Oryctolagus cuniculus: one gene and its partner. The protein of the gene in region 2 interacts with the protein of the main gene of each other region in a pairwise test. Links are inferred from orthologs where the notes say so. Each region holds a gene or a part of one and is shown on either strand. Other genes may lie near its edges.

Evidence for each region.
Region 1: the proteins of LHX4 (region 2) and CHCHD2 interact in binary tests that used the Homo sapiens proteins (3 or more experiments, as listed by UniProt). The two-hybrid records come from large-scale screens. The link is inferred for Oryctolagus cuniculus from reciprocal best matches to the Homo sapiens genes LHX4 and CHCHD2.

Annotation. Positions count from the first base shown.
Region 1 is NC_091450.1:65,935,460-65,939,812, forward strand, and holds the start of CHCHD2 (coiled-coil-helix-coiled-coil-helix domain-containing protein 2), read right to left. Parts: upstream 3,070-4,353; 5' UTR 2,851-3,069; coding exon 2,801-2,850; intron 953-2,800; coding exon 703-952; intron 1-702. UniProt on the Homo sapiens protein: Transcription factor. Binds to the oxygen responsive element of COX4I2 and activates its transcription under hypoxia conditions (4% oxygen), as well as normoxia conditions (20% oxygen).
Region 2 is NC_091438.1:8,382,659-8,386,461, reverse strand, and holds part of LHX4 (LIM/homeobox protein Lhx4), read right to left. Parts: intron 2,166-3,803; coding exon 2,011-2,165; intron 1,906-2,010; coding exon 1,734-1,905; intron 189-1,733; coding exon 1-188. UniProt on the Homo sapiens protein: May play a critical role in the development of respiratory control mechanisms and in the normal growth and maturation of the lung. Binds preferentially to methylated DNA.

The DNA of each region.
Region 1 (4,353 bases), on a different chromosome or scaffold from region 2:
CACACAGCAGCAGCCATCACCTGGCTATCTGCCACATCATCTGGGAAAGCAGAACTAGACAGATGCAAATTAATACAAAAAACGCAAACCATTAAAAGTAGGAGGCAAGTGAACTTAAACTAAATTCCAGTGGCAATCAGTCAACAACTAAGACAAAAGTAAGGTGGAATGGTTATCTGGGCATCTCAAGATTAAACAGTTCAGCGAAGCTTCGTGGAGGAAAAATGGGACTACAATAGAAAGACGGATAGATGGTTTCCTGTACACCACAAGTACAGAATACAGACTTGTGCTCGTTAGAAGAGAAAGGCTACACATCTCAGAAAGAGGGGAAATGGCAACTATCACAGGAGACCACACAGAGCAACTGAAGAGATTTTTGATGTCTTAACTAAGATTGAGACTGGATCAGTAAGCACTGCCAAGATAAAATCACATTAAAGGGAAAAACGGTTGTTCTGCAGTGAGTCAGGCTGGACTGTCACAATTCGACTCCTTGGGAAGAAACACAATTTGTACAGTACGATTCGTTGGTGCTGTTGAAGCACTAACTGAACTGCCCGATGTGGCTTTTGAGAACCCACTTTCTATTAACAGCATTGTAGACTCTAAAACTAAAGATAGTTCTACACCCAAAGAACATAAAAACTAGATTTTCTCACAGATATTCCCACGGGAGGAAAATGCTGCCCCAAATCTTACCTGGTAAGTGATGTCGGGCCGCGAGGGCTCAGCACTGTTTCCTCCACTGAAGCCCCCAGTGATGGCGTGGCCCAGCGTGTGCCCAACAGCAGAGCCCACGGCCACGCCAGCTGCAGTGGTGGCCATCTGGGCCATCAGGCCTGGCTGTCGGGGTGCCGCGGCGGGCGAGCCCACTGCAGATGGTGGGGCTGCTGCTGGCGGCTGAGCTACTGGTGCTGGCCTCGGGGCGGCTCTCATCTGAGGAGCCCGGCTTGAAAGAACATAAATACATTAAGCTTCCGTTTCTACTGAGCTTTGGAAATTACAAAAACCAGAACAACACGATAAAAAACACACACCTTTGTATCAGAATAAATCTCAAGATTTTCATTTTAAATTCTTAATCCCAGATGCTTACTATATACATATACAAACACAATTTCATCTAATTTTTTGTTACAGTGGTAATTACCAAGTGTATTTTTTTCCTGCTGTTTTGCAATAATTTCCATATGCTCACATAACCCATTGTATTTTTTCAGGAACACAGTTATTCCAATTCTTCATTAAGAAATACAGAATATTAATACAGAACATAGAATATTAAGAGTTAGAGGGGCCAGTGTTGTGCAGGTTAAGCCTCCACAGTGAGGCCTGCATCCCACATGGGCTCCAGTTCAAGACCTGGCCGCTCCCCTTGGGACCTAGCTCCCTGCTCATGAGCCTGGGAAAGCAGAAGATGGCCCAAGTGCTTGGGTCCTCACACCCAGTGAGTGACCTGGAGGCACTGCCTTTCAAATAAATAAAACACACACACACACACACAGGCAACTACTATGCATGACGAGAACAGAACTTAACAAGAGACGAAAATCTGCGCTTTTACGGACCTTATACACGGAGATCAAATAGTAAAAATGTCGTACATTAAACGTTAAAGAACTTTCAAGAGCAGGAGTATGAAGAGGGATATTGCAATTTTAGGAAAATCAAGGAAGCTCCCACTAAGCTGGTAACATTTGAATTAAGACCTAACGATGGACACCTGGGTAAAGAATCTAGCTCGGGGGGGCTGGCACTATGGCAAGTAGGTAAAGCCACCGCCTGCAGTGCTGGCATCCTATATGGGCGCCGGTTCAAGTCCCGGCTGCTCCACTTCCTATCCAGCTCTCTGGCCTGGAAAAGCAGTAGAAGATGGCCCAAGTCCTTGGGCCCCTGCTCCCAGAGGAAGCTCCTGGCTTCGGATGGGCGCAGCTCCGGCTGTAGTGGCCAATCGGGGAGTGAGCCAGCGGATGGAAGACACCCCCCCTTCCCGCCTTTCCTTCTCTCTCGGTGTAACTCTGACTTTCCAATAAATAAATCTTAAAAAAAAAAAAAAAAAAAAAGCTAACAATGGACACCTGGGTAAACAATCTAGTTCAGGTCTTTCACTTCAGAGATCCCAAAACCGGAGCCTAGTGAGGTAAGTGTGGAGCTACCGTACTCCCCATCTGCAGTACGTCTAGAACTTCCACTGGTTATGTCCAGCACTGCTTTTGAAAAACAAAAACAAAAACAAAAAAACAGCTGGAAGGGCAAAGACAGCTCCCATCCCTCTTGCGGACTCTCCGACGCCGGCGACTCCCGGGGCTGGGTCGAGACCGAAGCCCGGAACCAAGAATTCAATTCAGGTCTTCCACGTGGGTGGCAGCACCCGGGTCCACCACGTCCGCGTCAGCAGGCAGGGGGCGTGAGGAGCCCGAGTCCCCCGGAGACCGGAAGCGGGCGTCCCCACCCCGCCCCCACTGCTTGGACACTGCCAATGCACCCCGCTTTCTGCGCCCGCCTGTGGACTATTCCTAGGGCGCCCTCCTCCGAATCGAGGCTACGTCCGGAGGCTGTGACCTGGCTTCCTAGCAAGTGGCAGCTGGCCACGGCTTTATGAAATGCGCCTCCCGGCCTTGGCATGAGCTCTGTCCCTTCCCCCACGCTCCCAGCACACAGTGTGAACACAATCCACCTCGGTCCGGCCGAGGCGGGCTCTCTGCGCCCCCCCTTCCCCCACCTCGGCGCCCCGGGGCCGACAGGATTCAGAGATCCGTGCTTCGACCGCCACCCCCAGGTCCCCAAACAGCCTCACCTGGCCGGAGGGGCCATGCGGGAGGTACGGCTGCGGCTTCCACGCGGCATCTTCACGGCCAAGCTACCCCGGCGTCTCCAAGGACGAAACTCTGGCAAGAGTTCAAGTACTTCGGCGAAGAAGAAGAGCGGAAGGTAAGAGGCGGGGCTTACCCCAGGGTTACACCAATCAGCGCTCGGGCAGGATCCTTTCGTTTGCTGACGCCTCGGCGGCCCCTGAAGGTCATTGGAAGAGCAGGGCTTCACGGCGGAGCCTCGTCGTGCGTAATTGACGTAATGAGCTCCGCGCCCGGGCGCTTTATATAACCGGAAGATCCTGTGGTGCCCTGCAAACTCTGTCCCCCGACCTTAGCATGAGTCAGAAGGGTTAGCAGTTTGCTTCCTCGGCCGAAGGCTGTCGCTACGTCCTGCAGACGTTTGTATTAACATGGTGAGTTTAGCCCAACCTGTGCGAGTCACGTTTCTGGCTTGACTGCTGGGGGACCTTGAGGAAGCTACATATTTGGACAAATATTTTTTTGAGTCACAATGTGGCTGGAGGAAAGAAAGTTTTAGGCAGGGCTTGACAGTGTTGAGTTGCTTTGAGATAGCATCCTACACTGTGATTTGACAAGATTTTACTGAATGGCTAGTGTAGGCATTCAGCCCGATGTGCTTCAGCCATCTTGGGTCTAATCACCGTGTATCTTGACCAGTAGGTAATAACCTTAGAGGTCACCCCAAGCCCTGTGATAGGTACACAAAGTCACATGATTAAACTGTGGCCCTCACTTGCTATTGTTTCCTAGAGTCCCTCTTATCTAATGTCTGGGATACCTTCTTATGAATGTTAATGTTTCTTGAAAAAGTGTAACGTGCATTCCAATTGGCTGTGAACCACCTTTCTCTGTAAAACTCCTCTTTTCCTGACTCATGGCATAGGGATCCACTGTCTCAGCTGCCCAAGACCACCTTCTGTCCATAAATCCCCCAATAAATTACATTCTTTGCAATCTTAGATTTGTGCTGTTTTGTTGGTCCTATGGCAACTTTTGCCTCTGGAGGTCTGTTACAGTACACTGGATGTTTCAGAAATAGCACCAAGTAAAACAAGATTCTAATGTTACACTGAATTAAATTTGGCCTAGATTAGCCTCTGTACATAACTGATTGGCCTAAAATAGCTTGTACTCTGAATTGATGTGTGTGAGGTAGCTAGGTGGACATTAGCCTATGTATATATAAGAGGGGCCAAAGGAAATGGGGCTATTAGGTCTGATAACACTGCTGTTAAGGTCCTTGGAGCAATTTTTGGGAATTCCACACCCACATAGCCCTCCACCCAGCGATTTCTCAGAAGAGGAAGGAAAGGAGAAGTGGAGTGGTGGTGAGGACCCATGTCCTTATACATAAAAACTACAACCTGAATATCGTCTGGGCTCTGAGTCCTTTGCTGGTATGCTGCCCTGGTCTGTCACGTGTGTTCTCTTCATTAAACTTTGCTACCTCACTTACTACTACTCTCTGTCTCACATCTGAAATTCTTGCGTGAAGACATGAACCTCTGAGCAATTG
Region 2 (3,803 bases):
GGTGGGCAGGGAGGAGATGGAGGACGGAGACTGGGGGACCCCATAGGGGCTCCCATCTCCCAGGTCCTGGTAGGGCTGCCGGGTCCCGTCCATGGAGAAGCTCCCATTCATTAACTGTCCGCCTGTAACGTCCCCCACGTTGCCATAAATCCTATTGGTGTGGCCAAGTTCTGAGAGAATTTGATCCTCTGTGGACAAAAGAACGCAGGTTTATTGTCAACTGCCAGGACTCGGCGGTCCCTGCCCTTCACGACCTAGGAACGCACAGGCCCAGGACAGACGCCCAAGCGCAGGTCAGACACCAGCACGCGGGCCGGGCATCCGGAGACCAACCCAGGCCGAGGGGACCCACGGGAGGAACCCCAGCAAGAACTAAGATCCTGGGGCCCAGGAGGCTGGAGACACGCCGGGCCCGGGTGACGTGTGCACTCTCAGGAGCGACACACACCACAGGTGGAAGCCAGGGGCGGCCAGGAGCTACTCTGAAAACTTCCCAGCTGAGACAAGGACTTGTCTGCCTTGGTGGGGCACAGCAGGTGGCTGTGGTCGGGGCAGCCCACTCGTAGCCGTGTGTGCAGAGTCCTGGTCCACCCGGAAGAGTGCCTCCAAGCAAACACGGCTTCTCGTTCCTTAAAGACTCTATTAAGGGGCTCAAATATGGAATGTCTGCCACCTGGAGGAACTCCTCTCCCCACCAGAGGAGAGCAGGTGGAGTCCAGGAAACAAGGGGTTCTATATGGCCCGGCTCCCAGAATCACTGGACACGGCTGAATGTTCTCGTCCGTTCCCCCGGGGGAGGCAGGCGCCCGGAGGAGGCCAGGGGCTTTCGGAGCAAGGGCATCAGGTCCGCGGGCCCTGTGTCCTGAGAGCAAGCTGACCCCCAGGACAGCCCCCTCCTCTCTGTCCTGACGGCCCCTCCCGCTTCCACCCAGGCCTGTGCGTCGGTCCCTACGTCAGACCTCCTCAACCTCAACCAACACCCACCCCGGTCTTTCCGAGGCCACCCCTGATTCCACTCCTGAAGCTGGATGGGGGCGGGGCTCACGCCCTCTAAAGGGGAAGGCCCATAGGACCCACAGTCGGCTGCACCCGCTGGTGGCCCGCAGCACCCGGAGATGGGCAGAGAGCTACTCTTCCCCACTCAACACACAGGGCAGCTGAGGCTTGAGGGAAGCCAATCAAGCCGACAGAGCCACCTGGAAAGCAGGTTTCTGACCGCCCCACCCCCAGGGCGGTCCCCCACCCCCACCCCCGTAGAGGGCCCAGCAAGTGGGAATTCTCAGGAATTACATGCAGTCATTGCAATCTCGCGGATGCACGGATCGGAACGTGGCGCATGCGGCAAAGCAGGTGTGCGGCGCGCTGCGTGGACCGAGTGGGGCGGGAAGGGGTGTCCCAGGTGAAGCCAGTGCCCCCATCTGGCATGCACCGGCACTGCTGATTCCCCAGGGGAAGGGGCCTGTGGCGAGGCTGGGGACCGAGACTGGGATGCAGCCCTTGGTCTACAGCCGTGTGGGCCGGTGAGGGGGCCCCAGTAGACAGGAAAGGGGGGGGGGCAGGGAGCCCGACTTTCACAGCTCAGGGGCAGGGCTCTTCCTAGGGGCTGCCCACCACCCCCACCCCGGCCTCGGCCGCCAGTCCTGGGGCAAGGGCTGTGCCCAGGCAGGCGCGGCCAGGACCTGGGGGTTGCCGCACCCCGGGGGCCTCGGCCTGGAGCCTCCGGCCCTGCTCACCTCGGAAGCTCAGCTCACTGTCACTGACCCCACAGTCCTCCGCAGAGCTCTCCTTCTCCTGCTTGCCGCCTGCCCGGCTCCTCTTGACGCTCTTGTAGAACTGCCCCCAGCGGTGCCGGCCCGCGTCTTTCTTCAGCCGCTTCTCCTTGGCCCGTCGGTTCTGGAACCAGACCTGCGGTGCGCGCGTGCGCGCGAGCGAGAGCAGCCAGGTGGGTGCCCGCCCGGCGCGCCCACGGCCGCCCCGCGCGCCCCCGTCCAAGTCCCCGGGGCCGCTCACCTGCACGACCCGCATGTCCAGGCCGGTCTCCGAGGAGAGCTGCTCGCGCACGTGCCGCGCGGGCTTCGGGGAGTTCTTGTAGGCGTTCTTCAGCGTCTCCAGCTGCTTGGCCGTGATGGTGGTGCGCGGCCGCTTGGCCCCGGCCTCCGAGTCGTCTGCGGGGAGAGGCACCTCTCACCGGGCCGCCCGCCCTCCTGCCTGGGCCCTGGGGCAGCGGGCAGGTCGCCATCCGCAGGCCCCCTCCGGCCGCCCCCGCCCAGCAGGACCCACGTCCCTGTCTGGACAAGCACCCTTGCCCACAAGGCCTCGCCCCCTCCGAGCCCCTGCCCCACCGTCCCGGGCGCACAGCTGGGTGAGCTGCACGCTCAGCAGGCCCCTTAGGCAGAGACTGCGGATCAAACCCTGGTCCAGAGCCTACTGGCGAATTCTGAAGTCAACCGAGTGGATGGAAACCAGAGAGGAAGCAGGAGGAACAGAACGGGACGGGTACTGCCCCACGACACCCGTCTGCCTCTGGCGTGGGTAGGACTGCGGAAATGCGAAATGAGGTTCTCCCTCTGGGTCACGGTCAAAATCTGAAAACCAGCGTCTAGGTGCCCTCAGGGCACCAGCAAGAAGAGACACACGAAGTGTTCCCTGGATTCGCAGCAGACAAGCCTTGGGCTCCGCTGTGTGTGCCGCTCGGGGGCGGGCACGGAGTGAGCAGCTGCACAGACCAACCTCACAGCCTGCTGCTCCTCTGCCCACACGGAGGCCGCCCCCTCCGTGCGCAGTGCCCCTGGGGGCCAACCCGGTCAAGCTGCCAGCTGTGTCCCTCAGCTCCCGCTCAGCTTGGGGCACAGCGGGTAAAACAGGCACCTGCTCCAGTCCCACCCAGCTCTCTGCTGTGGCCTGGGAAAGCAGTACAAGATGGCCCAAGTGCTTGGGCCCCTGCACCCACGTGGGAGACTCAGGAGAAGCTCCCGGCTTCAGCCTGGCCCGGTAATTCGCCATTGCAGCCATCTGGGGAGTGAACCAGCGGATGGAAGACTTCCGTCTCTCCCTCTATGTACCTCTTTCCCAATAAATAAATCTTTTTAAAAATAAAATATCTTTGCTACATTCCTGCCTTCCTCCTCAACCTCTGCTTCTTCAACATTCAAGAAGACTCACTCTTAGGAACAAAGAGTAGCCAGCATTTATTAAGCACTTACTGTATGCCTGGCCTGGTTTGAATATAATTTGGGCAGGAAACTCAGGCAGAATGTTAAACACCGGGAGAGGTGGATATGCTCACCAACAGCATACCCTCTGAAGGGCTGTTATAAAAGTCTGAACTTGGCCCCGCCTCTCTTCTCTGCTCCCTGGCTCGCCATCTGCTCCCCCCGTCCCGCCCGCGCGCACACACACACACACACACACACACGTCTCCAGTGCCACCCTGGGCAGTCCTGCACCCTCCGGGCAGTGGGGTGTTCCAGGAGCGAAGTGGTTGTGCACGCGCAGAGGGGGCTCGAGGCCCAACGTCCTCTCTTCTCTGTGGGCTGTTTCCTCCTCTGGCACAGCCACTGTCATCCCAGGACCCTGCCCACCCCTGTCTCCCAGAGGCAGAGGCTCACTGCCTAGAGATCGGTTCCAAAAAGGGGAGAGGGACACCTCCAGAAGGCTATGCTTTAAATTCTATTATGGGGAAATCAATCCCTTCTCCTGTATTTAGAGAGTTTACATTAGGACAGCTTTTGGCACAAATTTGAATTATGCAAATATGAAATCGTATGAGGGCACTTCAAAAGCTCATGGAAAATGGAATTCTA